Linked DNA regions of Ovis aries. The protein of the gene in region 1 interacts with the protein of each later gene in a pairwise test. Links are inferred from orthologs where the notes say so. Each region holds a gene or a part of one and is shown in the gene's direction. Other genes may lie near its edges. The genes, in order: EDA, MAL, SEC22A, PLN and EMP3.

What was found.
Region 2: the proteins of EDA (region 1) and MAL interact in binary tests that used the Homo sapiens proteins (3 or more experiments, as listed by UniProt). The two-hybrid records come from large-scale screens. The link is inferred for Ovis aries from reciprocal best matches to the Homo sapiens genes EDA and MAL.
Region 3: the proteins of EDA (region 1) and SEC22A interact in binary tests that used the Homo sapiens proteins (3 or more experiments, as listed by UniProt). The two-hybrid records come from large-scale screens. The link is inferred for Ovis aries from reciprocal best matches to the Homo sapiens genes EDA and SEC22A.
Region 4: the proteins of EDA (region 1) and PLN interact in binary tests that used the Homo sapiens proteins (3 or more experiments, as listed by UniProt). The link is inferred for Ovis aries from reciprocal best matches to the Homo sapiens genes EDA and PLN.
Region 5: the proteins of EDA (region 1) and EMP3 interact in binary tests that used the Homo sapiens proteins (3 or more experiments, as listed by UniProt). The two-hybrid records come from large-scale screens. The link is inferred for Ovis aries from reciprocal best matches to the Homo sapiens genes EDA and EMP3.

What each region holds. Positions count from the first base shown.
Region 1 is NC_056080.1:62,929,470-62,935,057, forward strand, and holds part of EDA (ectodysplasin-A), read left to right. Parts: intron 1-666; coding exon 667-701; intron 702-1,567; coding exon 1,568-1,619; intron 1,620-4,431; coding exon 4,432-4,562; intron 4,563-5,588. UniProt on the Homo sapiens protein: Cytokine which is involved in epithelial-mesenchymal signaling during morphogenesis of ectodermal organs. Functions as a ligand activating the DEATH-domain containing receptors EDAR and EDA2R. May also play a role in cell adhesion.
Region 2 is NC_056056.1:104,621,702-104,627,970, reverse strand, and holds the start of MAL (myelin and lymphocyte protein), read left to right. Parts: upstream 1-2,524; 5' UTR 2,525-2,614; coding exon 2,615-2,707; intron 2,708-6,269. UniProt on the Homo sapiens protein: May be involved in vesicular trafficking from the Golgi apparatus to the cell membrane. Plays a role in the maintenance of the myelin sheath, and in axon-glia and glia-glia interactions.
Region 3 is NC_056054.1:188,413,271-188,419,395, forward strand, and holds the start of SEC22A (vesicle-trafficking protein SEC22a), read left to right. Parts: upstream 1-2,007; 5' UTR 2,008-2,036; intron 2,037-3,999; 5' UTR 4,000-4,089; coding exon 4,090-4,094; intron 4,095-6,125. UniProt on the Homo sapiens protein: May be involved in vesicle transport between the ER and the Golgi complex.
Region 4 is NC_056061.1:19,648,591-19,652,889, reverse strand, and holds part of PLN (cardiac phospholamban), read left to right. Parts: intron 1-2,652; 5' UTR 2,653-2,740; coding exon 2,741-2,899; 3' UTR 2,900-4,299. UniProt on the Homo sapiens protein: Reversibly inhibits the activity of ATP2A2/SERCA2 in cardiac sarcoplasmic reticulum by decreasing the apparent affinity of the ATPase for Ca(2+).
Region 5 is NC_056067.1:54,792,349-54,798,638, forward strand, and holds the start of EMP3 (epithelial membrane protein 3), read left to right. Parts: upstream 1-2,130; 5' UTR 2,131-2,276; intron 2,277-2,525; exon of another isoform or gene 2,526-2,581; intron 2,582-3,538; exon of another isoform or gene 3,539-3,612; 5' UTR 3,613-3,627; coding exon 3,628-3,705; intron 3,706-3,921; coding exon 3,922-4,024; intron 4,025-5,091; coding exon 5,092-5,232; intron 5,233-6,290. UniProt on the Homo sapiens protein: Probably involved in cell proliferation and cell-cell interactions.

The sequences.
Region 1 (5,588 bases):
ACAGCTGATTTCTCTGGGTCCAAGAATACTGCCACAAGACTCATATTCTTTGACTGGTAGTTCAAACAGAGCTAATCAGTGTCATTGTGGCCCCAAGAAATGCAGTTTGGAATTTTTTTTCATCCCATCTTTCTACAAATATTCATTGCATACTTTCTATGTGCAAGAGATATATTGACTGGTGGAATTTATGTCGTACAGGAGAATGACAATTAAAGAAGCAAGATGTGTACAAATGGCAATGCATTCTACAGAGAAAATTAATAGAAAGAGAACAAAAGGCTAAAGAAGCAAGTACCATTGTCTTGGGGTCCCACGGTGGCAGGAATGCACTCTCCTCTGTCACCACGGGTGCTCAGTGGCACTTGCCTTGGGCCATTGTTGACGAGGGGCCAGTTTCCTGCTGGGTGCTGGGCGCATTGAAGATGCAGGTCAGGGACAAGTCAGAGAAGAAAGGGGTGTCATCTCCCACTCCAGAGCCCCGCACCCTGACTCCCTCCAGCTCTGAGTTGTGGAAAATAAGGCTCAGTTGATGCTTGGCAAAAGGCTCAGACTGAGCCTGGCTTGGCTCAGACAGGGAGCAAAAGCTCAGTGCCATTGGCTGCCTAGATGAAGAGAAGCAAGTAGACAGAGCATGCCCTCTGACTGGCCTGTCCTATTTTGCAGGTGCTGCTGATAAAGCTGGAACTCGAGAAAACCAGGTTGGCTGGGAATTGCTGTCTTGCTGGGAAGAAGGGAAGGCCACCCTTGAGTTTGCTCCCTGCTAAGTTTGCTGAGGCTTTCTTTTGTGAGGAGACCCTGGAGGTTCTGGGGGCTTTTCATTCACAGCCCCCTCCCATGAATAGAAAAACTTTGCCCTAGGGCCTGCTTTTAGCAAGAGAACTGAGCTGTGGCTATTTTTCCCCATTCCCTAGGAGACAGAGGGTCACCACAGCCAAGCCCAATAGTCAGCTGACATGAGCTGGCAGTGAGGTCTATTCACCTGGTCCTGGGCCTCCCCAACTACACCAGACACCTTGTCGGCATTCCAACCACCTGATGTCAGCAGCTTAGAAGTTTAAGAATATGTTCTTGAAAATCAGCCAACCAGTTCCAGGTCAAGCCCAGCCTGGCCTTCTGCCTTCACAGCCTGAAGGGCTCCTCCCTAGTCTCTGAGCTTCCTGATCCATCTCTACTGGCAGTTTCCACTGCCTCGCCTTGTCTCATCACGGCTTCTCTCACTACAGCTGTTTGGCCACAGCAATCAATCTACACAGCTGCACGGTGCTGGATGGCTTGCAGGGTATTTTATATTCGTCACCTCAGTTGATCTTCAGACATCTCTGTAGAGAAGCCAGACAGAGATTCTCAGAATCCCCATTTCACAGGGAAATGAGGCTCAGAGGCATTACATTTGGCAGAGCTATAAAATCATATTACCCTCTAGTAGAAATGTGGCCACTCGCATCCCAAGACAGGGGAGAGGGGTCAGAATTGGGATACAAATGAAGACTAGAAGGTGGCAACTGGTGGCTGAGCAAGCAGCCATTTCTCACAGTGACTACTTTCTCTGTCCTTATCCTCCCAGCCAGCCGTGGTGCATCTACAGGGCCAAGGGTCAGCGATTCAAGTCAAGAATGGTAAGAGTCAAAGTAGGCTCTCTCCCTAAGAAGAGTTTTTTCCTGCCACCACCTTTACCCACAGCCTTCAAATAACCACCCAGCTTAGTTCCTCCCAGACCTCGAAGGTACCCTTGACACTACGGGCCATTCTCTACTCCATTTTGCCCTCTGCTGGCTGTTTCAAGTAATTGCTTGTCCTCAGACTGGTTACTACAAATTGCAGTTAGAAGCACAGATTTAAAAAACAAGAAGCTGAAAGGGACTTGAGACATTGTCTAAACCAAGGATTCTTGGAAAGTGGAGGCTGAATCAGAGTCACCATTGGGAATATGTATAGTTTAATCAACATTTTCACAATACAAATTATAGAAAGTAGAAATACATAAAATCAAATCTTCTTGTGTGATGGGTCTAGGGTCGAGGGGCATTTCTCTCAGGGAAGTGGGGGGCATGTTAGACTCTGTAGGAAGTATGAGATGCTAGTGTCTACAAAAAAAGGGGGTGGATTGAAGGAGGTTAGAAATCCTACATTTAATGTAATCCCTGCATTTCAAAGGTGGGGAAACAAGAGTGCCAGAGAGATTGGACAACACCATAATAAATCTACTGCCTTAAGGTTGTATGGTTCTTTAGAGTTTTGTCTTTGATTTGATTTGATCCTCACAACAAAGGTAGGCATTAGCTCCTTTCTACGAAGACAGAAACTGAAACTCAGAAAGGTTAATTAACTGGCCCAAGATTTCCATTAAGAGTAGGAGCTGGGATTCAAAACCACATCTCTCTGACTCTTTCCACTGTACTATGCTACTTCAGTGATGTGTGTGTATACTCTACTGAGTGATTAGCTTCATTTCTTCCCAAAGAGACATGAACATTCATTAAAGAACAGTGCTTTGAAATAATGTCCAGTCCCCAGGGTATACAAAGCCTAAAATGCATGAACCCCCAGAAGCCTCAGGAAGCAGCAAGCCAGCCAAGATGCCAGATGCTTACAGAGCTTAGAGTAGAAGGGAGGGGCTGTGAGTACAAAAGCAGTAAATGAAGGGTCAGAAACCTGCTGCCTGGGGACAGCAGCTTCTAAGAACCCAGTCAGTCCTAAACTGGCTGTGCTCTGCTTCCTTAGTGACTGGGCTTGGGTACCTCTCGGACTGCCACCTGGATGCCTGACTTCATTGCCTCAGAAACATAAGTAAGAACATAATGGCACCAAAACCCAAACTGTCCTGCTGGGACCAAGTGCCTTGAGACCCAGGACACTGGGTAGGCCATGATCACCATCTATTCAGGGAAGAGTGAGACAGTCAGGAAATAGATTTGTTTGGGTGGCCTCAGTGTTATGCCAGAAGCTACTGATTTTGCTCCCATCATACAACAAGACTAGTTCCGACCCCTCTGGGCCAATCCCCAGTAGTAGTCTATGCTGATCTTTAGTTCCAGCAGAATCAAGAGTGAGGGGTCAAGAGTAGAAGATTTCCTGCAGAATGGTCGTCTGTGAGGGACAGAGCCAGAGCGTCTCCTCTGAACTCTATCCCGTCTGCTTATCACCTCAAGGGAAGATGGGCACCTTTTCCTCACACCTCGGAAAGGCAGACCTCCCGAGACTAGCCAAGGATGGACTTTCAAAACATGTTTTCTTGGATGAAGAATGGATTTTTTAATTTATTTTTAATTGAAGGATAACTGCTTTACAATATTGTTTTGGTCTCTGTCATACATCAGCATGAATCAGCCGTAGGTGTACATATATCCCCTCCTTTTGAACCTCTCTCCTACCTCCCACCCCGTCCCAGCCCTCTAAGTTGTCCCAGAGCCCTGGTTTGAGTTCCCTGAGTCATACAGCAGATTCCCACTGGCTAGATGGCAGTGTATATTCTCTCCATTTATCCCACCCCCTCCGTCCCCCCTGCACACACACCCCCACGTCCACAAATCTGTTCTCTATGTCTGCATCTCTAAGAATGGATGGTTTTGAAGGGGAAAGGCTCCCAAGCCTAAACTCCCTCCTCTTAGGGTGGGAAGGAACATCCCCTTTGCTACAGAATGGAAAGGGAAGCCCTTCTTCCTGCCTCACAGGCCTCTCCACTCGCAATGGGGTATTAATGAGAAATGCTTTGCAGCAGTGCCTCCATGCTCTGACACCCTCTCCATCCATTTGGCTGGTTCTAGGGCTGCATGGCAGCTGATCCCTGACTCTCATAAAGATCCTTCTGCCCTACATGGCCTTATTACTGGAGGTTCCTTGTCTGGCTGCCATGAAGTCTGACTTAACCCTGATCCCTAAAGTTCTCTGAGTAGACAGATCCTTGGGCCAAGTGGTTTACTGGGGGCCCATGGAGACTTTCCAGAAAGAAATGAGTGTGGAGGAACTATTAAAAGGAATCTGTTAAGGACAAGAAGAAATAGGGATTCAGGAGCTATGGCTGGTGAGATGAAATGGAATAATAAGACCTAGCCTGCCCCTCAGTGTCTGGATTTTGCCTGTGCAGGTCTCAGAACAACAAAGAAAATAGGGCAGCATGCCCACCCTCTTCTTACCAACCACCCCCAATTCTAGTTGGAAGGTGTTGGTTAAAGATCCTTCCAGACAGAGAAGTCAGAAAAGGAAAGAGAAAGGACATACAGACCCCAGGGGCCTGAAGTAGGCCTGGCTGCCAGTTTACAAACAGACCGCTTTCTCTGCTTCTGGATGTTCTTCTTAAAGCTTGGCCTCCTGGGCTATCCGGGTTATATCTCAATGGGGGTGGGGGTTGTGTACAGCTTGAAATTTGTTGTTTCTATTGCCCAGATGATTCTGACATGTACTGAGTGACTGCCGTTCTCTCATACTGAGATCTTTCAGGTGGAGTACTCAATGACTGGTCTCGCATCACCATGAACCCCAAGGTGTTTAAACTACACCCCCGCAGCGGGGAGTTGGAGGTACTGGTGGACGGCACCTACTTCATCTATAGTCAGGTAGAAGTGAGTACGGTCTCAGGCCTAACTCTTATATCCAGAATGCAGATCCTTTGCATGCCACAGAGGGGCACTGTGGAGCCAGCCCAGACCAGCCAATGGCTGAAGTCCTGGGTGGGGAGGTTGGAGGGAAGACCCACTCGGGGAGGGAGTTGAAAGGAAGGAGGAGAGACAGAAGGGGCTGTTTGGGGTTTTTTCCTTAGCCAGATACGATTGAAAACTGAAAAGAGGCCCCTCCCACACCCTGCCATCTGATCCCCTCCTGCAGGGCCCCAGGCCCTAGCTTCCCTGCTGAGCTGCTTGGTTCTACTGCCAAAACCGAACTCTGTCTCAGTATATTTTTAAAAGTCAGTTCCAGGGTTGCTGAGAACCCCTCCCTCCCCACACCACTGGCTTTATAATGAAGAGTGCTCTTCCGGACCTTCTCTCCACCTCAGGAAAATTTCTGTCTTTCCTTCCTCTTTCTTCCATTTGTTTCTCTACCTTCTGCTTCTCTGTTATTCTTGCTTCTTTTCTGTCCCAGCACTTTTCTCCCTCTGTTTGTGTCCTTGTCCGGGCCCAGGGCTCACTTCCCAGGTCGGCCAGTGCCCATCCACTTCCACCCTGTTGTGTCTCCAATAGTGTGTCTCCTCAGAGCTAGAGGTGAATGAGCCTTGAGGCTGGGGCTTCTGTGGGGTGAGGGGCAAGCAGACAGATGGACAGAAAGACGACAAAGCCAGCAGAAGGGTCTCCCAGGAGAGTAGTCAGAGAAGGTGGGTCCTCGAGCATTTGCTGAGCCCACCAAACATCCTGACACAGCTTGGGTCCTGACCCAAAGATTTTTCTTAATTCATTTTTTAAAAGTAGAATTTATGTATTTTTTGGCAGTCCTAACACCTGAATGTGCTGCTGCCTTCTAAACGGTCTATGAAGGGAGCAACCTTTCTTAGAGTCATTTAGGGTGACAGATGGGTGTCCCAAAACCCAGAGGTATGATCCCAATGTCCTATGGGACATTTGTCCTAAGTGCCATTTGATGTGGGGTGGGGATCA
Region 2 (6,269 bases), on another chromosome or scaffold:
ACCTCGCGGCACGAGGAGCAGGGCCTGACCGTCCTCCAAGGCCCGGTGCCTGCTGCTCCTCTGTAGGGAAGGCTGCCTCCTCCCTCCAGGTAACCACTGCTCACCCCTCAAGGGTCCCTTCCTCCACAAGCTCCCTGGACCCCAAGCCCAAGCCGGCTGGGCTGGAGGGTGCTCTTGGGTCTGCCTGCACTCTCCTCCCAGCACCAAACCCTTTACACATTTATCATGCAGTGTTTGATTGACCGCGCTCTCCTGTTCTCTAGGGTGAGCTTCAGAAAGGCAGGGATCCACACCCTTGCCAGCATTTGTTATTTGTGTTCTTTTCCATGATAGCCATTCTGGAAGGTATGAGGTGAGACCTCAGCATGCTTTTGATTTCCCTGATTATGTTGAGCATCTTTTCATGTGCCTATTGGCCATTTCCTCTTTGAAAAAATGTATATTCAATTCTTCAACCCATTTTTAAATTGGGTTTTTTTTAATGTTGAGTTATAGGAGCTGTTTAGATAAGTTGGATATTAACTCCTTTTATCATTTGCAAACATTTTTCTCATTCAGTGGTTTGCCTTTTCATTTGTCAATGGTGGCCTTTGCTGGGCAAAAGCTTTCAAGTTTAATTAGGTCCCATTTGTTTATATTTGCTATTATTTCCTTTGCTTTAGGAGACAGATCCCAAAAAGGACTGCTACAATTTCTTTCAAAGAATGTCCTGCCTATGTTTTCCTCTAGGAGTTTTATGGTTTCTTGTCTTACATTTCAGTCTTTGATCCATTTTGAGTTTTGCGTACGGTATAGTAGAATGTGTGTGTATCATTCTTGTATATAAGGCTGTCCAGTTTTCCTAGCACCACTTACTGAAGAGACTTTCTTTTCTCCATTGTATATTCTTGCTCCCTTCATCCTAGATTAATTGACCGTAAGTGCATGGGTTTATTTCTGGGCTCTCTAGTCTGTTCCATTGCCAGTTTTTGTGCCAGCACCGTACTATTTTAATGACTAGCTTTGTAGTATAGTCTGAAGTCAGGATGAGTGATTCCTCCAGCTCTGTTCTTTCTCAAGATTACTTTGGTTATTTAGGGTCTTTTGTGTTTTAGTGCATATTTTAAAATGATTTGCCCTAGTTCTGCAAAAAATGTCATTAGTATTTTGTTAGGGGTTGTATTGAATCTTTAACAATATTAATACTTCCAGTTCATGTTGGCAAGAATGTGAGGAATAGAGAACCCCCGTACACTGTTGGTGGGAATGGATATTGATGATGCAGCCACTTTGAAAAATAGTATGGAGGTTCTCAATATACTAAAATTGGAACTATCATCTGACCCAGCAGTTTCGCACCTGGGTATACGTCCGAGAAAACCAAACCACTCCTCTGAAAAGATACAAGCACCCTGATGTTCACAGCAGCATTATTTTCAATCGCCAAGGTGTAGAGGCAGCCTAAATGTCCATCAACAGGTGAATGGATAAAGAAGCTGTAAGATACACACCTACACACATACACACACAATGGAATACTACTAAATCATAAAAGAGAAAAAAACCTTGCCATTTGCAGCAACGTGGATGGACTTGGAGGGCGTTAGACTAAATGACACGTCAGACAGAGAAAGGCAAATGCTGTGTGATATTCATATATGAGATCTAAAACTATACAACAAACTAGTTAATATAATAAAAAAAAAGAAGCAGACTCATAGATACAGCTTTCGAGTGTGTGGGTTTTATGCAAGGGGCACAGAGGCAGTGGGGACTGTCAGCCGTCACCAGTCAAGAGGCCCAGTTGCCCTCCATGTGGCCCGGGCATGTCCTTCTCCACTCCGAGCCTGGAGGTGGGGTGACACCCGCTGGAAAGGTTCCTGGAGATTAAATGAGGTCACGTGGGCAAAGAGCCGAGGGGGTGCTGGGCACTTAGCAGGCCCTCAGCAGTGCTGGCTCCCTCCACGGTCCAAGATTCAAGGCAGGTGTGATTGCCTAATCCATCGCCCAGCAGTTCCGGCGCCGAGTGGTGCGGAGCCGGGTGGTGCAGAGTTCCAGGCTCCAGGCTCTGAGGGCGCAGGGAGAAGGCATGGGTGACCATACCTGGTCTCAGCAGTCCCTGCAAGGCAGGGAACTAGTCCCACGGTGAACTTGGATGCACATTAACGCGCCCGGCAGGAAGATAAAAGAGCCCCAACTCAAGAACAGTTTGCACCATGCTGACCCAAGAGATGCCACGGTGCCTGCCGGGTTTGGGGAGCCAACTGTTGATGGTGATCACTCTTAAGAAATGCCGATCACCTGCAAAGAGTGTGAAGCGCCTCACCGAGGCTTCCGATGGAAGGTGGCGCCCAGACGTGGCGCTCAGGAGTCAAACCCCAGTCTCAGCCTTGGAGTGTTTCAGGGCTGTGCCCATGACGCTGGGCAGGGCCCTTGGGGCGCGCCCCCACGGTTTCGGGCGGGGACCGGGCGGCGGCGGCCGGGACTCCTCCCTCTTCGGCCAGGGCGCCCCTGCTCTTAACCCGCGCGCGGGGGCGCCCGGGCCACTGGGCTCCGCGGAGCAACAGAGCGGCCAGCGCAGAGTCGGAGCAGCGCTCGTCCCGTCCGGTTCCGAGGCCGTCGCCAGCCCGCCAGCATGGCCCCCTCAGCGGCGTCGGGCGTCAGCAGCCTGCCGAGCGGTTTCGCTGTCTTCACCACCTTCCCGGACCTGCTCTTCATTTTTGAATTTGTGAGTGTCTGGCGCGCCTGGCGCCGGCGCGGGCGCCGGGAAAAGCAGGTCGGGATGGGTCGTGGAGTGCGCTCTCCTCTGCTGCAAGCCGCGAGGGTCCCTGAGCCTCTGGCAGCCGCAGGAGGAAAGGCTCTCCCCAGCCCCCACCCCGCGATGCTTCTTTGGCCCCTTCAAGCCCACGATAAACCGTCTCCGAGATTTGGGTGGAAAAACCAAACTCGCAACACGGATCAAATGTCGGAAGCTGGCCCGGGTCCACTGGGAGCGCACCGGGTCCAAAGCTGCGCTCCCAACCTGCTTCCCATGGGCTTATTGGGATCGGCGTCCTTGTAGAGGCACCCGGCTCTCCCCAGGGTTAGGATTTTGTTTTAAAGTTTAAAAATCAGCAAAAGACACCTGCGTATTACCAAGCGAAGGGTGGAGATGGGGTTAGTGTCATAGGAGGAGCCGAATCTGGGTTATTTGCTCTTGAACGTTTCTGGTGAGTGAAGGAATTGGCCACCACTTTGATCTGGAAATAACACAACAGGCTGTGACTGCTCTGCCAGTCACTGTGCCCATTGTGGAGTGTGGGGGAAGGAAGAGGGGCCTGAAAGCCGGGCCCTGCCTTGGCTGACCTTGAGCATCCAAGGGCTTCTGCACCTGCTGTTGGCCCCTCCTTACACTGGAGCCCCAACCGGAGGCTGTGGGAAAGCGCTTCCTCCTCGGGGCTCCCGGGAAGTGCTCTCTGCCGCGAGGCTTCAGACCACCCTCAGCCTAAGCTCCCCAGGGTGCCAGGCCCTCACCTGGCAAGGGACGGGCTGTACTTCTTTCCTGAGTGTGGTTCCATGAGCCAGAAGACTCCTGTCCCTGCGCCCCCACCGCAGTAGTGGCTGCCTGGAGCGTCAGCCGGTAAAGGAAACATCCAACCTGTTTAAAAACGGGACCTCAGCTTCTTACCTCCTGCTCGGCTGGGGAAGGCATGAACAGCAAACCCAGCAGGTTCTGTTACCCATGGAGGGTAGAGGGGGAGCACCCGCGGGGAGAGGGCTGAAGGGGTCGAGGTTGCCTTGTGGCGCCGTATCACTGAGCTTGAGCCCAAACCTGCGTGTATACAGAGCAACTTTAAATCCTGGGGCTAGCCAGCATCCAGGAGGGGAAGTCTAGAAGAAGCTCTAGACACCTGTAATCTCAGCCACACCATTTGTAGGTGGCGACACCCAGTCCCAAAGTGGAAGGGGTTTGCATTCACTGGAAAATTCCGTCCCCAAATGGCTCGTCTCTGTGCTTCTACTCAGCACTTAGCCTGAAAATGAGCGTGTATAGTAAGCAATAGGTTGTTCCTTCAGAGGCTACTGTATTTACGCGACAGAATTTGTTGATTGTAAGTGATGAAGGCTAAAGGTGAGGTGTGTGATGGGGCAGAAAGATTTTTAAGCCACAGAAGGACTTGCTAGTATCTCTTGAGTTGCTCTAATGAATTGTTTACTCTGCCTTTGTAGCTGTTTGGGAAGCATTATAACAAGAAGCATAAGAAAATGCATTGAGAATTCCTTGGTGGTCCAGTGGTTAAGAATACACCCTTCTACTGCCAGGGGCCAGGGTTCAATCCCTGATCCAGGAACTAAGATGCCACAAGCCATACAGCATGGGTAAATAAATAAATTTTTTAAAAATGTGTTCACTGGGCTTCATACAAAAGACTCTGGGACACCTTCCTCCTCTTGCCCTGACTTGAATAGGTGTGTGAGCATGCAGTATTCATAATAGTCAACCAGTGGGAACAGCCCAAATGTCCCATCAACAGGTGAACAGATAAACGCATAGTGATATTCCATGCAGTGGAATATTACTCGACTGTAGCAAAGAATGAAGTGCTGGTACAGGGTGATAAACCTGAAAACACGATGCTAAGTAAAATGGCCAGATGCAAAAGGTCACGTAGTATTTGGTTCTACTTATAGGACATGTCCAGCATGGGTAGATCTCTAGAGACAGAGCGCAAATTGGTGGTTTGCCAGGGGCTGAGAGGAGAGAGAAATGGGGAGCAGCTTAATGGGTATGGAGTCTCCTTTGGGGGTGATGAAAACGTTCTGAAGTTAGATCGAGGTGGTGAGTGCCCAGCATCGTGAAGGTATTAAATGCTGCTGAACAGGCCAATTTTAAACGGTTAGTTTTCTGTTGTGCCGACTTCATTTTCACTTTTTAAAAGTTGAAAACTATTTCAAAAATGACAGAGAAGTATACATACTTTAATCGGTGTTCATGTAACTATCACTCAACTTTGTTATGTCTTAATATTTTTCCTTATTTACTCTCAGTAGTAAGGAAATAGAGCTTTCAGATGACATCTAAACCACCTGGATATTCTGCTATTCTCTTACTCTCTTCCCTTCAGCCTCAGGACCACCACTGGGCTGAACATGTGTTCAGTGTTAGACTTTTACTGCACCCCTAACTATTTATGATCACACCTGTGTGGTTTCATATTTTCCCGCTTTATAGAAAGGATGGTACACATCCTTCTTCAACATGGGTTTCATACAACCTTGTTCTGAGGTTTATACACACTGACACTCTTTATTTGGTCTTTTATTGATGGACATTTGGGCAATTTCCAAATGTGATACAGCAGACGGCACTGCCAAAGAACATTCTTGTGTTTGCTCCTGTACTTTGGGGAATTTCTTTCAAGAACACAAAGAGATTTGACTCACTGGGTCATAGCGATTGCACACCCTCATTTTCCCAAATGTTAGCACACTGATGTCCAAAATGGTTACTCCATCTCATAAGCGGGGTTACCAGGAAGCTGATGGAGCTTAATTAAGCTCTGGACCCCTTCTTGCTCAGGCCCCTTCCAAGACTCTGGCTGACTTCGCATTCCTTTAGAAAGAAGGTCTCCATACTGTATAACCCTCCTGACTCCCACCAGCAGCTTATGAAAGTCCCCATTGTGCTTCATCTTGCCTCACTTGGTAGAGTCAGACTTCGTAATTTTCTGCTAGTCCAATGGGTGTGAAAGGCTTGATTATTTTTTAAATCTGTGGTCAAGCAAGTTGTTGATTACTCACAGTCCATATTCTCATGCTTGACCTCCCAATAGCCTGGGAGGTGCTGCAGTAAAACTTTCCGCCTCCAGGTCTGCAGGGTGGAGCTCTGCTGAGCTCTCCCAAACCAGGAAACTGCCCAGGAGCAGGGAAGGGTGGTAGCTTGGGTGGAGCAAGGCAGCTCTTCCCTAGGCCTGCACCCCTACCCTTGGGCTCCTGCCCTCTGAAGGCTGTGGCAGACCCTGTCTCCATAAGCACCCCAGAGCCACAAGGCCCTGCTGCTGCAGCAGGCAGCGGGTCACAGGTGTACACCCCTCTCCAGGCGCAGGTGGAATGTCAAATGTCCCCCTCCCTCAACAGCTCCCAGGGCTGTGCTCTGGCCTGTTCCCCCTCACCCACCCGAGAGAATTTTTCCTTTTGGAGCCAAGACTCTGGTTTCCCTTCCCCCGCCCCGCCACCGCTCTCGCCTAAGCCAGGGGCTTCATGATACTGGGACATGTTCAGAAAACAGGATGTTAACATAGAATGCTTTT
Region 3 (6,125 bases), on another chromosome or scaffold:
AAGTGTGCAATTTGACAAATTTTCTTTTCTTTTTTTGCCACCTCCATGTAGCATGCAGGATCTTAGTTCCTTGATCAGGGTTTGAACCTGTGCCCCCTGCAGTAGAAGCAGGGAGAGTTCCCACTGGATTGCCATGGAATTCCCAACCTTATGAGTTTTCATTAATCAAACACACTAGTGTAATTAACATCCAGATCAAACATTACTAGAACCCCAGAAGCCCCTAGGGGCCCTTTCTAAACCTTAATGCCACCTAAGGGTAACCAACAGTCTTCTATTACCATATATTATTTTTGTCTCTGTTTGAATGTTATATAAGTAGAATCAAGTAGTATACAGTCTCTGTGTCTGGCTTTTATCAGTCAGTTTTACAGTTGTGAGATTCATCCATGTTTTGTATGTAGTTGTTGATTGTTCATTCTCTTTCCTGTATACTGTTCTACTATGTGAATATTCTAAAGTTTATTTATCCTATGAGAATTCTTATATATGTGGTATATTCTTATATATGTTTATGGTAAACAAATGAATACATTTCTGTTCCACATATATCTAGGAGTGGAATTGCTTGGTTAACCCACTCCAACAACCAGCAAATTTATATAATTAGTCCAGACATTGCTTCTGGACTTCAGACTTACATCTCCAAATCTGTTTGACATCTCCATATACAAGCATGTCCAGCTTAATATGTCCAAGACCGTTTGCTCCTCCTTCTAGGTTCCCTGAGTCAGTAAATGGGTTCTTAATTCATCTAGTAAGTCATGGAGGCATTCTTAATGCTCTGCTTTTCTTTATCATCCTAGGCAAACCAATTCTTTATTACATCCTTTGGATTCCACCTCTAATTTATAAATAAGTATTTCAAAATTACCCAAATCTTTCTGTCTCTAGTGTCATTACCCTAGCTCAAGCCACCGTCATCTCTGGCCTTGACTAATGCAACTGCCTCCAAACAGGACTTCCAATAAGCCCTTCTCTCCTCTTTCAAACTATTCCCCACAAATAGCCTAAGTGAGAGTTTATTAATAAATATGTAAATCTGACCCTACTTAACACTCTATTAGCTGCCCATTGACCTTAAGATACATTCCAAAATACAGTCTAAAATTTATAATGTGGCCAGGAGGAGCCTGCATAGTCTGGCCTCTGATTCATTTCGACTCCTTTGCTCCTACACCTCAACCCCACTGACTTCCTTTCAGTGACATGTTCCTAGAACACATCAAATTCTTTCATGCCCCAACAATCTCAAACATAACATTCTCTATGCCTGCAACATTCTTAAAGGCTCTTTCATGTGCCTGGAGCTTCAAAGGCACTTCTTCAAAGAACTCTTTCCCCATAGTCCTTATTAATCTATCGTTGCACTCACTAATTTTTCTTCATAGAATTGATCACAATTTATAATTACGTAATGTTTATGCTTTAACATCTCTTGCTCCTATCACACATTAGATCCACCGAAAGTTATATTCACTCCTATAACCCAATGCCTAACCCTGGGCTTGGCACATAGTATGCAGTCAGTAAGCACTTGTTTAATAATGCATGACCGATGCAAAAGCTAGGATGGACTGCAGGAACAGCATTTGGCATTTCTTTGTCAAGGTAGGATGCCTTCCCCGGCGTGGTAATAATGGGACAGGTCCTTTTCTTGTTCACTCAGAGTGGGGCTTTCATGCTCCTTCTATAAGTGTTTCCTGCAGGGCCGCATAAGAAACAAACTACCTGCAGGTACAGGCGGCAGACCGGAGATCAGCCTTATTTGCGAGGGACAGTATAATCAGTCAATCCAGGACTTGCCACTCTCTTGGCGTAGAAGCGTGAAAAGCTGTCAATCTCCTCCGGAGCGGGCGGGTAAGTGTGTCCTTCCCCCAGAACCTGATTGGCCTGAGCATGGAACGGGGGCGGGGCTTGATCCCGCTGGGTGCCAGCCACGTTGCACGCGAGGCTGCCCCGCCGAGAGGCCACTCCCCGGCCCCACAGTGCACTGCGAAGCGCGTCACTCGGAGCGGCGGGTCTCGGCTCGACAGGTACGGCCCGGCCCCTCCCAGTCCTTCGTCCCTTCTTGGGGTCGCCCGAACCCTGATCTGCTGCTCGCCTCTCTCTCCCTTTCTCCTGCCACGGTCCTGACTCTCGCCGTTGGGACTACAGACCTACCTACCCCGGGCGGGAACTAAGTTCGTGGCGTGGGAGCGGGAGTCTTCGGAGTCGTGGAGCTTTGGAGGGGTGGGATTGCTGGGACTTCGTTCCCTTCAACTTGAGGGATCACTGGGGCCGCGCGAACGGCGGTTGCCCTTCGGCTGACCTGCCGGGATATCGGGCAGCTTGGGCAGGGGGCCGAGGAGGGGGGGACAGTCGCTCTGAGGTGCCAGCGGTTAAGCGGCATTCCCTGGCGCCCAGGTGTCAGAAACACGGTGGCCCTCCTAGGCTGTTTAGGTGGCCCAGAGAGCTTGACACGGCACTTCCTATTTTCTTTTAGGCAGGGTTACTTAGTTTTTTTGTGAGGTAGTTCAACCTCAATGCTAATTCAAGCATTGAACCCAGAGATTTGCCCGCGTTGGCTCACAGAAACCGAAGGTCCTGTTAATGGCACTTAGGAAACGATGTGGCATAAGGGAGACCTAAGCAATTGGCTCGACAGGTAGCTGAGGGTTCCGGAATAGGAGGCCGAGCCTCAGCTGCCTTTAATCTCTCTGACAGTGAAAACAGCAGCTTTGCTCCGCCCCGTTTAGTTTCCTGGGTCATCCACCTGGGGCAGTGGGAAAGCTTGAGAATCAGTTCCTTCTATGCTTTGCTTCAGCCAAGGCAAAGCCTAGGGGTGAGGTGTCAGCCACCAGGAGGGAGATGATGGGATCTCAGCTAACAGGTGGAACAGCCACTTAAAACTTTCTGAGTCCCTTTGCAGGTTACTGGCGTTTGTTCAAGTGCTAAGATAATGGTTTCCCTGGTGGCTCAGATGGTAAAGAACCTGCCTGCAATGTGGGAGACCTGGGTTTGATCCCTGGGTCAGGAAGATCCCCTGGAGAAGGGAATGGCAACCCACTCCAGTATTCTTGCCTGGAGAATTTCATAGGCAGAAGAGCCTGGCAGGCTACAGTCCATGGAGTTGCAAAGAGTCAGACAGGACTGAGGGACCAAGCACACAACACAACCCTAATTTAAGGGGCATCTGGGCATTGCCTATACTGAGAACCGTAATTAGTTTAGTGTTTGTGTGTGTGTGTATGTGTATAAAGTGATTATAAAGTGGTAGTCGTGTCTGAGTCTTTGTGATCCCACGGATTGTAGCCCACCAGACTCTTCTGTCCGTAGGATTCTCCAGGCAAGAATACTGGAGTGGGTTGCCATTTCCTCCTTCAGGGGATCTTCCCCACCCAAGGATCAAACTTGGGTCTCCTGCATTGCAGACAGATTATTTACCATCTGAGGCACCAGGAAAGCCCGTGTGTACATAATTGATTCTTAAAAATCTTCAGTGTATTTTATACTGGTGTATTAATGGAGCCTGCAGTTCAGTTCAGCCGCTTAGACGTGTCCAGCTCTTTGCGACTCCATGGACTGCAGTGCACAGGCTTCCCTGTCCACCAACTCCCAGAGCTTGCTCAAACTCATGTCCATTGAGTCAGTGATGCCATCCAACCATCTCATCTTCTGTTGTCCCTTTCTCCTCCCGCCTACAATCTTTCCCAGCATCAGGCTCTTTTCCAATGAGTCTAGGTCTTAACAAACAGGCACTTTCGACCTTCCTGTCCATGCAGTTGAGTTGCTGCTGCTGCTAAGTCGCTTCAGTCATGTCCGACCCTGTGTGACCCCACAGACGGCAGCTCACCAGGCTCCCCCGTCCCTGGGATTCTCCAGGCAAGAACACTGGAGTGGGTTGTCATTTCCTTCTCCAATGTAGTTGAGTAAGAAGCTTAAATATGTTGATAGGCAACATTTCAGAGTGTGGTTAGAATTATGCTTGAGTTTAATTCTGTCACTTGCTCATTTCAGGATTGAATAGATTACTTTTCTGGGCTTGAATTTCCTCAGAGATAAAATGGAATGGATAATAACTACCTCACAGGGTATTGGAAGGCTTAAATGAGGTAATGTGTATAAAGTGGTAAATAGAGGACAGTCAATAATAACAAAAGCTTAATATTGCACTTTCCGTCTGCAAGGTGATGTTTCAGGTTCTTTACATGTTATTATGTGGTAGATACTATTAGTATCTTTAAACAGTCCTATGAGATGGGTGCTATTGGTAGTCAAAATTGACAGATGAGGGTATTGAGCATAAAAAGACAGTTTGCCCAAGTTTACACAATTACTAAACGGTAGAGCCAGTTTTTGAATCCAGGCAATTTGGTTTCATAGTACACCCTGTTAACTATAATACTTACTGTATAGTATATAAGCTGTTTTTAAAAATTGTTATTTCAGAATGAATAGCTAATTCCTGTATCACTGGCTTCTTGCCCCTTGTTGATTATAGGAGGAGCACAGTGATGTAGAGATATACAAGAGACTTAGATTTAAGCACTGCCATATATTAGCAGTGTGACACTGAGGAAAGTTTCCTCATCCGTAAAATGAAGGTTATACCTCCCTCACTCTTCGTTAACTGTGAGGTGTTACACAAATTACTGATGCAATTGAGTATGTGTTGAAGGCCTTCTTCCTAGATGTGTGAATGATCTACTCTGGAGCCAGAGTTCTTATGCATACTATGCAGTACAAGTACCTATAATAAAAATACCAAAGGCTGTTGATAAGATGCGGGGCACAGGTAAAGTTGCAAAATAAACTCTGGTTGTTTTTAGTACCCTTTTCACCTCTTTTCAGGCTCTATCTCCCAAGTACCTTCCTGCTAACCTATGGCTGCATGAAATCCTTCTCGTTTCACTCAATCTTCCCCCAGTCCAGTGCATCACAATTAGTATAGCCTTCTCCAAAGCTACACCCCAGTTCCCAGATCTCAGCTAGTACTTTTTAAAAAATTAATTAATTTATTTTAATTGGAAGCTAATTACTTTACAATATTTTAGTGGTTTTTGCCAGACATCAACATGAATCAGCCACGGGTGCACATGTGTTCCCCATCCAGAACCCCCCTCCCACCTCCTTCCCCATCCCATCCCCTAGGGTCATCCCAGTGCACCAGCCCTGAGCACCCTCTCTCATGCATTGAACCTGGACCAGTGATCCGCTTCACATATGATAATATACACATTTCAATGCTACCCTCTCAAATCATCCCACCCTCGCCTTCTCCCACAGAGTCCAAAAGACTGTTCTCTTTTGCTGTGTTCATCTGGGTCTCTTTTGCTGTCTCACATATAGGGTCATCGTTACCATCTTTCTAAATTCCATATATATGCAATAGTATACTATATTGGTGATTTTCTTTCTGACTTACTTCACTCTGTATGATACGCTCTAGTTGCATCCACCTCATTAGAACTGATTCAAATGTATTCTTTTTAATGGCTGAATAATACTCCATTGTGTATATGTACCACAGCTTTCTTATCTGTTTGTCTGATGATGGACATCTAGGTTGCTTCCACGTCCTGGCTATTGTAAACAGTGCTGCAATGAACATTGGGGTACACGTGTCTCTTTCAATTCTGGTTTCCTTGGTGTGTATGCCCAGCAGTGGGATTACTTGGTCGTATGGCAGTTCTGTTTCCAGTTTTTAAAGGAATCTCCACACTGTTCTCCATAGTGGCTGTACTAGTTTGCATTCCCACCAACAGTGTAAGAGGGTTCCCTTTTCTTCTTACCCTCTCCAGCATTTGTTGCTTGTAGACTTTTGGATAGTAGCCATTCTGACTGGTGTGAGATGGTACCTCATTGTGGTTTTGATTTGCACTTTTCTGATAATGAGTGATATTGAGCATCTTTTCATGTATTTGTTAGCCATCTGTATGTCTTCTTTGGAGAAATGTCTGTTTAGTTTTTTGGCCCATTTTTTGATTGGGTCATTTATTTTTCTGGAATTGAGCTGCAGGAGCTGCTTGTATATTTTTGAGATTAATTCTTTGTCAGTTGGTTCATTTGCTATTATTTTCTCTCATTCTTAAGGCTGTCTTTTCACCTTGCTTATAGTTTCCTTCTTGTGCAAAAACTTTTAA
Region 4 (4,299 bases), on another chromosome or scaffold:
TTTGGAAGTTCAGCAGAATTAGGACTCAACACATTTCAGACCGTACCACTGTCAAATAGACTGGGCCCAAAATACTGCACGCACAAAGCTTAACATTTCAGCACGTAAACAGGATTTGTTTTGGTTTTAGCACAAGGTAAAGTGACTATTTAGAATTATAACATATTTCTGAGTTTGACAAGAAACAAGACAATATTTTTGGTTGTCTCCTTTATACTCAATTTGTCTCCAGGAACTTTTCTGACAATAGTTGGCTGAAGTATTATGAGATCATCTTTTAAGTCTATCCATTATTCATCATCATTGGATAGCTCATCTCTTTAGGAGAAACCTCTTTGTATTTCACAAACACCAAATACCCACTTGTACAAAGCTCAGTTCAGGTTAATTCTGTTAGTCACTAACAATAGTTTAAGTTTTAATTTCTAAAGTAAATATTCTAAGCCTCACTTTCCTCATCTGTAAAGAGACTTGAGAAGAATACTGGAGATTAGGTTTATCAAATTCTATGACCTAAATGGTTCACCTGCTAATCAAAGCACTATCTTTGATCATTAATAATTTTCTAAAAACATTAAAGTAAATCATAATAAATAATTCACTGTTTAGCTTCACTGATTTATTCAAATGGTACTCATTTTGCACTTAAGCACTAGAATACAAAGTAAGCCCGGGAATTTTTATACTCGTGAACAGGAAGTCTAGCAGGGGGAACAGGCACGCAAATCAACATTATAGCACAGCCTGCTAGCCACATCTTGATACAGGCAGCACTAGAGCCCTACTAAAACCCAACGGAGGTGATAACCAATTCTGCCTTAATGAGTAATGGAAGGTTTCATTAGGAAGTGATATTTAAACTGGACCTTAAGGATTAACTGAAGTTTGCCTGGCAAAGAATCAAAGGTAGAGGCAGGGGGAGGGGAGACATTCCAGGCAGGGCCAGAAAAACATGTGCAAAAGACAATCATAAAAGGGAATGAAGTATTTATGGAAAGGTGACACGTTTCATGTGACTAAAGTACCGCTCCCCAGTGTTGGGGGAGGGGAGTGACTTCATGATGAACTGGCTTGCTCTTCCTTTTCCATGTTATATCTCACAATAACTTTAAAATTCAGGGCTTGTGCGCCATTTAAGTCCTAAAACTTCATAAAAATTAAGTTCAGACAGGAACTACCAATGCTGATTCTTTACAGTCTTCTAGGTTATACTCTGTTATGTAAAGAGACTAGTCAAGTTTACATAAAAAAGTAATAATCTTCTCCACAATTACCCACCAGTAGAAACCCACTACATCTATAATAAGCAAATATAAGCTGAAACAATTTAAAGAACTTTTTTCTTAAAGAAAAAAGAAAAAGCCTTTATTTCTTTATTTGGATCTCCTCACTACAGGCTAGTACTATGAAAACCGCAGGGTCTTCAGCCAATAGAGCCAAGCTGAAGTGCTGAAACTATACAGAATCCAACCAAACACTGTATATCATGTGGTGTCTTTGCAATAGTAAATGAGTTCTAACCTAATCTCAAGATCAGGCCTAAAGATCTGCTGTCTTTACCAGTCTCTCTTGCAAAATACAGCTAAAGACTGAGATGGGTCTTCATGAGATGTACAGCCACTAGGGAGAAAATGAAACCAGGCAGCTGGGCTAAGGCAGTAATATCTTGATCGGCAGAGATGTCAAGATATGTTAACAGTTATTATCTCTGGCAGTTAATTATGACTATTTTTAAATTTTCATTTCTAATTTTTCTTATTTCAAAATTTACATAGAAGTATCCTGATTGACAACAAATATTGCCAAACTATTACCTCTGGGCACTTAACTTACAACTAATTTTTAATCTACTGAATATACCTAATTTTCTACAATGATGTACTGTTTTAAGTTTTGTTTTATTAATCAGCACAGGTAATTGATCAGGCAGCAAATAATTAATTAATTAGGCAGAACAGCCTGTGGGAGCTCTGAAAGAAAGCAAATGCAAACACTGTTCTTAAGTATAGGCCCTTTGCAAATGGCAACTATGTGTGGTAGACAGTGAGACAATGATGATTTTATTACTATGCCATTTGAGTCTGGCAATCTTTAGTACTTAATATCATCCTGTTAAAATGCTACTTGAAGTAGTATATTTTACAAAGCTATAAAATCATCAAAACAAATGAGAAACATTTCAATCTACAGTTCTGGTAAAACACTTCTCATTGAACTATTTTATTTTGGAGTGAAGTCAACATCTGTAGAATAACTTATTGATGCATCTTCTTTTTATAAAGTTTGCTCTGGAGCTATTTATACACTGATGCTCAGAACAACTGTGCTCACAGAGAAAACAGTCTTAATGAAATAACACGTAAGAACTTTGGCCCAAGGGAATAGCCCAAGACAAGCTGCATCCTAACCAAATTATACTTCCAGTCATTTTGAGAGAAAGAGGACAAGACTGAAGTTACTATACCCCAAATATAAGATATCATGGTACCATCACCAAAAAAGACAGAGCCTGAGCAATACAGACTAGAGGTATTTGATGTCGTAAATACAAATTAGGTTGAGGAAGAGGGATGAACACAAAACAGTGTTTTACCTGTTCAGGGGATAGGTTACACCTACGATCCTAAACCATTTACTACTTTTACATTCCAGGCTACCTAAAAGAAGACGCACTTGGCTGGCAGCTTTTTACCTTTCTCTTGAGCGTTTGAAACTCCAGGCTCCCTGCCTTCCTGGTACCATGGATAAAGTCCAGTACCTCACTCGCTCTGCTATAAGAAGAGCTTCCACCATTGAAATGCCTCAACAAGCACGTCAAAACCTCCAGAACCTATTTATCAATTTCTGTCTCATCTTAATATGTCTCCTGCTGATCTGCATCATAGTGATGCTTCTCTGAAGTTCTGCTGCAACCTCCAGCGCTGCCACTTACCGCCATCAGCTTAAAATCTGTCATCCCATGAAGAAGGGGAAACAATACTATATAAGAGACCACTTCCTAAATAGAAGAATTTCTTTGTGAAAAGGTCGAGATTTGGAACAGAGCAAATTGTTAGCAAACGTATTCATCTGCTGGATGTTGTAAACATAAGAAGGGCTTTATTTTCAAAAATTAACTTTAAAGTGACTATAATGTAAGTGTGCATAATGTAACTGTTAATTTTCTAAACAGACCTTAAGCTTCTATCCCAAATCTTTCCTAAGGATGAACTAGGAGTTTAGTTTTGAAACTGCACTGCTAATAAGCTCACTTCATATATAAAGCATCAGCTTCACTCTTTGGGATAAATATAATTTATATTGTACTGTAAAAGCCTCTTGGATGATTTATTGAGTATTTTTCAGGTCCTCACCAAGTATACCAAAATAATCATTCAAATGAAATATCATTTGAAATAGCCCTTGTTTATCATCATACAGAAGTCTCCATAGTAACTCTATCAGACCCTACACTCTAAAACAGAAATTATACTTTTTCTATAATACCCTAACATTTTAAGTTTATAAGAATTGAGTAAAATCAAGCAAGACCATACCCTTAGACAGATAAAACAACTAATTTTCTCAAAGAATTACAGAATTTTAATATGTGCAGGTAAACCATAAATCTGTTCTCACCAGGACTTTATGATCAATAGACAAGAACTGTTGGTTAATTTAACATCTGACAGTATGATTAGCCATAATTACTAACACACTAACAGAATAGAACCTAATCTTCATTTAAAGCACTATAGCTAATTACCTGAGTCAGAGCACATAACTTGCCACTGGAATCATAAAATTTTAAGATTAGAATGATTTTACAGGTTGTCTTCTATTTTAATCTCACACTCATTGTAGGCAAGCAAAATAAGAAAAAAATATTACTTCAAGCATTAGAAAAAAAAAATTTAACTCTTTCTCCAAAATCAACAAATTCTTAAATTTTACAGTAAAATTTTTATCCCACTACTGTTCATGATAGGGTATAGCTATTTTCCTTAATCTATCAACCAGGTGGTAAACACCTAAGTGGTAGGCCACTCTACTACACTAACCAGCAATACTAATCTACAATGATTTTCTTGCTGAATACATTTCAAGTTTCTCTTCATTTAAAAATATCTTCCAACTACTGATAGAACAATAGAAGTAAAAATTGGTCATTTAAAAATATCTTCAAACAACTCATAAAACAGAAGCAAAAACTGGTTTGGAAAATATATTCACCAAAATGTGGTACATTGACTTAGTTTAAAATTAAGTCTAAAACAGTTTACACCTATATTACATAATTCAACAGTTTTTACTACAGTT
Region 5 (6,290 bases), on another chromosome or scaffold:
CCACGTGGGCCTTCGCAGAGCCTGCTGTCTGTGGGCGCCGCTCCTTGCAGGCTGGGTGTGCCCAACGCCTGCGGTTTCCTGTGGGAGGAAGAGGCCCGCGGGCGCTCAGCTCGTGGCTTTGGAGGCCCAGGAGGGGAAGATTCCACCACCGCCCTCCGCTACCCTAATTCTCCCCCTTCTGTAGGGCCCTAGCATGGGGGACCCCCTGCCCGGAACATCTCCAGGGTACCCCAACCTGGCGCTAATTCCACTCTAGGAGTTTGATTCAGAGTCCTAGCTTCCTGTTCTCCACCTCCCCCGCTCAAATTCCATCTCTATAGCCCCTGGTTCCCAGACTCCTCCCAGGACTCAGGTCCAGCCCCTTTGCCTCCTTGAAGAACATAACGATCTCTAGTCCCTCATTTTTCCCCCGGTGACCCAGGCTTCCTAATTTACTTGGAGAACTGAGTTCAGACCCCCAGTCTCTGTCCTTCTCAAAGATGTAACTACTTTACCCACCCCCAGCGACCTTCATTTTGTACTCCCAAATTTTTAGACTTGGGACCCAATGGACCCAAGCATTTGTCCCTTCTCCAAATCCCAGACACCTCATCTCCCATGTCCCAGTGTGTCATGTAACATGCATGTACAACAGTGCTTTCTCTATGCCAGGCACTCCTCTAAGCATTGCTCCTTGAGGTATTTACTATTATTATTCCTATTTTACCGATGAAGACACTGAGGCATAGAGAGATTAATAACCTGCCCCAAATCACAGATAATGAATAAAGCCTATGTCATAGTGGTAACAGCTTCCAGGTTAGGGTTAGGAGTACCACCCAGTCACTGAACTGCCCCTCCCTCACCCCCTCAGGGAGCCCAGATAACCAACCACTCTCCCTCCCTCTCCCTGTGGCTCCCTCAGATACCCAGCCATCCCATCATCCAGTTCCTTTCCCCTGTGGGGACCAAGATTTCAGTCCTCCAGCTCTTAATTCCACATCAGGACCCCAGACACCTGGCTCCCTGTCCCTTGCTTTTCACCAAGCACCCAACCCTCCATAGAGACCCAGGTACATAGTGGTAATCACTCCCCACACTTATTCAATAATCTAAAAATAAATAATAATGATAACAATAATAGTTATTCATAACATTAAGTCCCTGGTACTGCACTTCTGTTTAAAACCGCCAATGGTTTCCCACCACCCTTAGAATAAAATCCAAACTCCTCCCCTAGGCTTCAAGGGCTCTCTTTGAATTCCCTTCCTACCACTCCCTCTAGTTCCCTATATTCCGGCCACACTGGCTCTTCTGTCTGCTCCCCAAACAACTTGAGCTTGTTCTCCAATCCTGTGTCCTTCCTCTCCCTCCAGCATTCAAATAACTCTTGTCTTCAAGTCTCATCTCAGAATGAGGTTTCTCCTTAGAAAAACCTTGCCGGATCACCCTTTTAAAGTTGCCTCCCATCATCAGCAGTGTCACTGTATTTCATTTCCTTCAAAGCCCTACCACCACCTGAAGTCTAGCTACTGTACTGATGCGTCATTCTCTCTCTTGCTCAACTAGAAGGTAAACTCCATAAGAACAGCAGGGCTCGCGTCTGTTTTCTTCATTATTAACTCCTGGTCCATAATAGATGTTCAATAAATGTTTGATGAGGAAAAGAAAAAATGTGTTAGGGGTGTTAGTGCAGTGGTATCGCCTTGTTTGTTTAGAGTAAGTATCAGAATTGTTATCGTTGCCGTTAGTATATAGTCAGCAGTATAAGTAGTACTGTGCCCAACTCTCGATTAGGAAACTGAGGTTCAGAGAGTTGGAATAATTGGTCAAGGTCCCCTAGGCAGGAAACGGTAGCCCTGGGTTCTTAACTTCCACCTCCTGCCCCCTTCCGGAGTTCCACACTTCCCCATTTCCCATCCCAATTCCCACCAGGGTGCCAACCCCACAAGTCCTCAGCCCACTCCCCTTGGCAGGAATCTGGTCTCCCCGCCCAGACACCCATCCCCCTGAGGATCCAGTCCTAAGCCCCATCAGGGAAAGCAGATGTCGATTCCCGGGACAAGTCCAGGAGCAGAGGCCTGAGAATCAGATCCTCCCACCCGATATGCCTGCCCCACCTAAGGGCCCCAGCTCTGTTTCCTTTCCTCCAAGGACGTGTCATCTCCACCGCAGGACGGGGAGCCCCAGAAGATGCCTGTTGGGGCAGTGGGTGGGGGCCCAGAAAAGGAGGAACGCGAGTGACTGGTCCCTCCCTCTGGCTGCCGACCTCAGCTGGGCGCGGTGGGTATAAAAGGGTCAGTATATATTGAGAAGGCCAGAGAAAGAGAAACCAGGAGAATGAGGAGAGAGGGAGGAGAATCGAGGTACAGACGGTGAGGACAGGAGAGAGAGACAAGAGGCAGAAGGCAAGAAAGAGAGAGAGAGGGAAAGAAAGGGTTCCGGAATTGGAGGGAAGAAAGAGAGAGAGAGCCAGAAAGGGAGGGAGGGAGAAAGGCGGTGAGAGGCGGGGGCCTGGAGAGGGTGGAAGGAGGGAAGAGAAGGGCGGGGCACGGAGGCCCGATCAAGGGACCGGACTCAAATCTGACTTCTGCCGCTCTCGGTAAGTTTTCAATCCGTTATTCAGCCTGTGATTTCTTTCTTTACTTGGGTGTGCAGCAGTTTGGAAAGGAGACCCCCACCCTCACCCCCTTGCCAGATTGGGTGAAGCTTGGAAATCCTTGTAATTTAAGAAGTGAACTCTTGGCACTTGGGGTGGAGGCTTGGAAAGAGGTGGGGCCCGACAGATTTTAGGGTTCCCAGCAGAACCCCCACCACCCAAAAACTTCCTGCGGTTTTACTCTATGGCTGTCCACTCCCCCCGGAAGACCCTGAGGTCAGGGCTTCTCATGAGAACAACCGAAGTCTGGAGACACTCCAGCCCCCACCCGCCACCACTCCCCTGCCGCCCTTTCTGGACACTGAAGGGTCATGAGGGCTGGCTCCTTCTTTTCAGGCCCTCTCCCACCCCCAGCATGGATCTTGTCCATTTTCCCTACAATGTGTCCAGTGGACACTAGTCTGGCGGCAGGGCAGGGTGGGGTGGGGACCTCGTGGGCATAGACAGGGGCTGGGGTTTCCCTGGTGCTTGGAGGCATGCGGCAGGAGGGTGAGATGAGTCACCGACCAGATGACTCACCGGGTCCCCCTTCCTCCCTCCACCCCAAGAGAGGAGTGGGGTGAGTCAAGATTGTCCATCTCTGGGGGCAGCCCCCAGCTTCTGATATATCTGAACAGGCAGCAATAGGAATTTTTCACATCCTTGCCCATATGTCCCCAGGGACAGGGCTCTGCAGAGATGGGAGCCAGATTGCTAGTCCTACTCATTCCTGGACCCAAGTCTATCACTGGCCCCCTCCAGGCCCTGGGAAATTCATGAGTCCGGGCCACCAGCTCCCTCCTCCTTCACAACCAGGCATCTAGCTCCCAGCCTCCTCCTCCCTCAGACCAGAAGTTTGGGGCTCCTAGCCCCCATTTCCATTAGACTTGGGAGTCTGGACTCAGCCCCTTTCCTCACCAGGATTCAGGCATCTCACCTGCCCCTGTGCCAACAACCTCTTGAAGTGACCGTCATCTCCCTACATCCCACCCCAGGCTTCCAACACAGCCATGTCACTCCTCCTGCTGGTGGTCTCTGCCCTCCACATCCTCATTCTCATTCTGCTTTTCGTGGCCACTTTGGACAAGGTAAGCCAACTTGGAGGACAGGGGCCTCCTGTCCCTCTGGCCCTGCCCCTTCGCCCTAGCACTCCGTCATGAGCTCTGCCTTCACCCTACCCTTTCCCCTGATGAGCCCCCAACCTACACTTTCCTATTAAATCCATGCTTTCCCATGGCACCTTGCCCTTTCCCCAACCCTGCCTAACCTCCCTGACTTTGCCCTTGTTCCTCTACCCATCCCAGTCCTGGTGGACTCTCCCCGGCAAGGAGTCCCTGAATCTCTGGAATGACTGCGAATGGAACAGTAACAACAAAACATGGGACTGCAGTATCGTCAGTGAGAATGGTGAGGCCTGAGGGGCACTGGAGATGGGTCTGCAGAAGGGAGGGATAACCCCAAGTCTCCTCCTGGGACCAAGGATTGGGAACCCCCCAAGGTTTGAGTGGGCGGGTTATGGGTCCCCATGCTGAGTGACTGAGGCTGACGTATGATGACCCACCTTTCTGAACGGTAGGGGGAAGTATGCCCGTGTTCTAGAGTGAAGTGAAAGTCGCTCAGTCGTGTCTGACTCTTTGCAACCCCATGGACTATATAGTCCGTGGAATTCTCCAGGCCATAATACTGGAGTGGGTAGCCTTTCCCTTCTCCAGGGGATCTTCCCAACCCAGGGATTGAACCCAGGTCTCCTGCACTGCAGGCAGATTATTTGCCTGCTGAGGTTAAAAACCCAACTCCCGATGATTTAGGAGTAGAGGCCACATGCTATAGGTTTAAGGAATGGGGGGAAAGCTTCCAAGATTCTGAGAAGACAAGATCATGTTCCCAAAGTCCTAAAGAGGCAAGACAGGTGTTCTGAATGGATGGCTGGGCCCATGCTATTCAAGTTCCAGTGGGGTGGACCACGTTGAGATTCTAAAGAGGTGAGACTGAATCCTTGCAAGGTTCAAAATAAATGGGGTCAGATGCATCTGAGTTCTAAAGGGGCAGAGCTGCATCCGCTAAAATTTCTAAGTCAAAGAAGGTGGAAGATTAAATGCTTTTTCTGTAAGAGCAAAGGAAGAATTTCTGCTCTTACAATTCGATACCATGTCATACTGGAGGTAGCCAATGCAATAAGGCAGGAAAAAGAAATAAAAGGTATAAAACATGGGAAACGAAGAAGTAAAACTGTCTCAATTCCCAGTGAGCATGTTTATATACAAAATCCTAAAGAATCTGCAAATGGCTTCTAGAATTCCTAAGGGGATTTAGGAAAGTTACAGGGATCAAAGTTGATATAAGTGATAACTACTGAGTATATGAGGTTGAACGACTCTAAATGAAAGAACGGTTGGTGGGAGCAATGACGAGCAAGCAGGCGGAGCTGGAACCCTGGACCTGCTGTAACTTCCTCCTCTATCTCCTTATTGCAGGCTGGCTGAAGGCAGTACAAGTCCTCATGGTGCTTTCGCTCATCCTCTGCTGTCTGTCCTTCATCCTGTTCATGTTCCAGCTCTACACCATGCGGCGAGGAGGGCTATTCTATGCCACTGGCTTCTGCCAGCTTTGCACCAGTGAGCACGGTTCCCCAGGGAACTGAAAGGAAGGGAGGAGGCCTGTGAGGATGGGGGGAGGGTGGGGGGAAGAATGGACACCTAGTGAAAGAAAACAATTCTCAACAACACAAAGACCACCTGAGGTTCTGCCTTTGGCTACCTCTCTGCCCCAGGGACTTAAGGAACTTGTAGTTTTCAGTGTCTCAGTGGTGGTTTGTGGTGTGGGTCTCTGAGTCATGGGGCAACTGGCACTTAGAGCTTCAAGGAGCCAGGGCTGGGGAAGGGGTTGTGGACGGATAATCTAGATCCCAGGAACAGAGGGAGGCTAGCAGGGATAGGTAGCTAATTAATAACACCAGGCTGCTACGGCTGCTGCTAAGTCACTTCAGTCATGGCTGACTCTGTGCGACCCCATAGACGGCAGCCCAGGCTCCCCCGTCCCTGGGATTCTCCAGGCAAGAACACTGGAGTGGGTTGCCACTTCTTTCTCCAATGCGTGAAAGTGAAGTCGCTCAGTCGTGTCCGACTCTTAGCGACCGCATGGACTTTAGCCTACCAGGCTCCTCCATCCATGGGATTTTTCCAGGCAAGAGTACTGGAGTGGGGTGCCATTGCTTTCTCCAAATAACACCAGGAGAGAACTCTAAATCATAATAGTAGTGGTCTTATAATGTCAACCAGTTGCTTTTTTTGTGTGGACCGACCTTGTATCAGACACTTCAGGGACTTTTACGTACTTTTCATTTTTTATGACTTCAGGTGCAAAGAGCAAAAGTTAATCATAGTTATCATTTGGGGGAGCATTACGTTTCTAGGTTTCCTCTTGTTCTACTGATTTACTACCTGTGTGCTTGGCTTGTGTAAAGTCACTCAAAAATATTCCTTGAATGGATGGATGGATGAGTAGGTATTATCGTCCCATGTAATGGATGAGTAACGGAGGCCCAAAAAGATCCACTAAATTGCCCAAGTCCAGTCTGCAGCAGCCTCCAAGGCGCGGCGCTAGAGGAGTGAACTACAACTCCCAGTAGGCAGTGATGCACTCGCCCTCAGGCGGTTTCTTTGCCCCGTGGGTT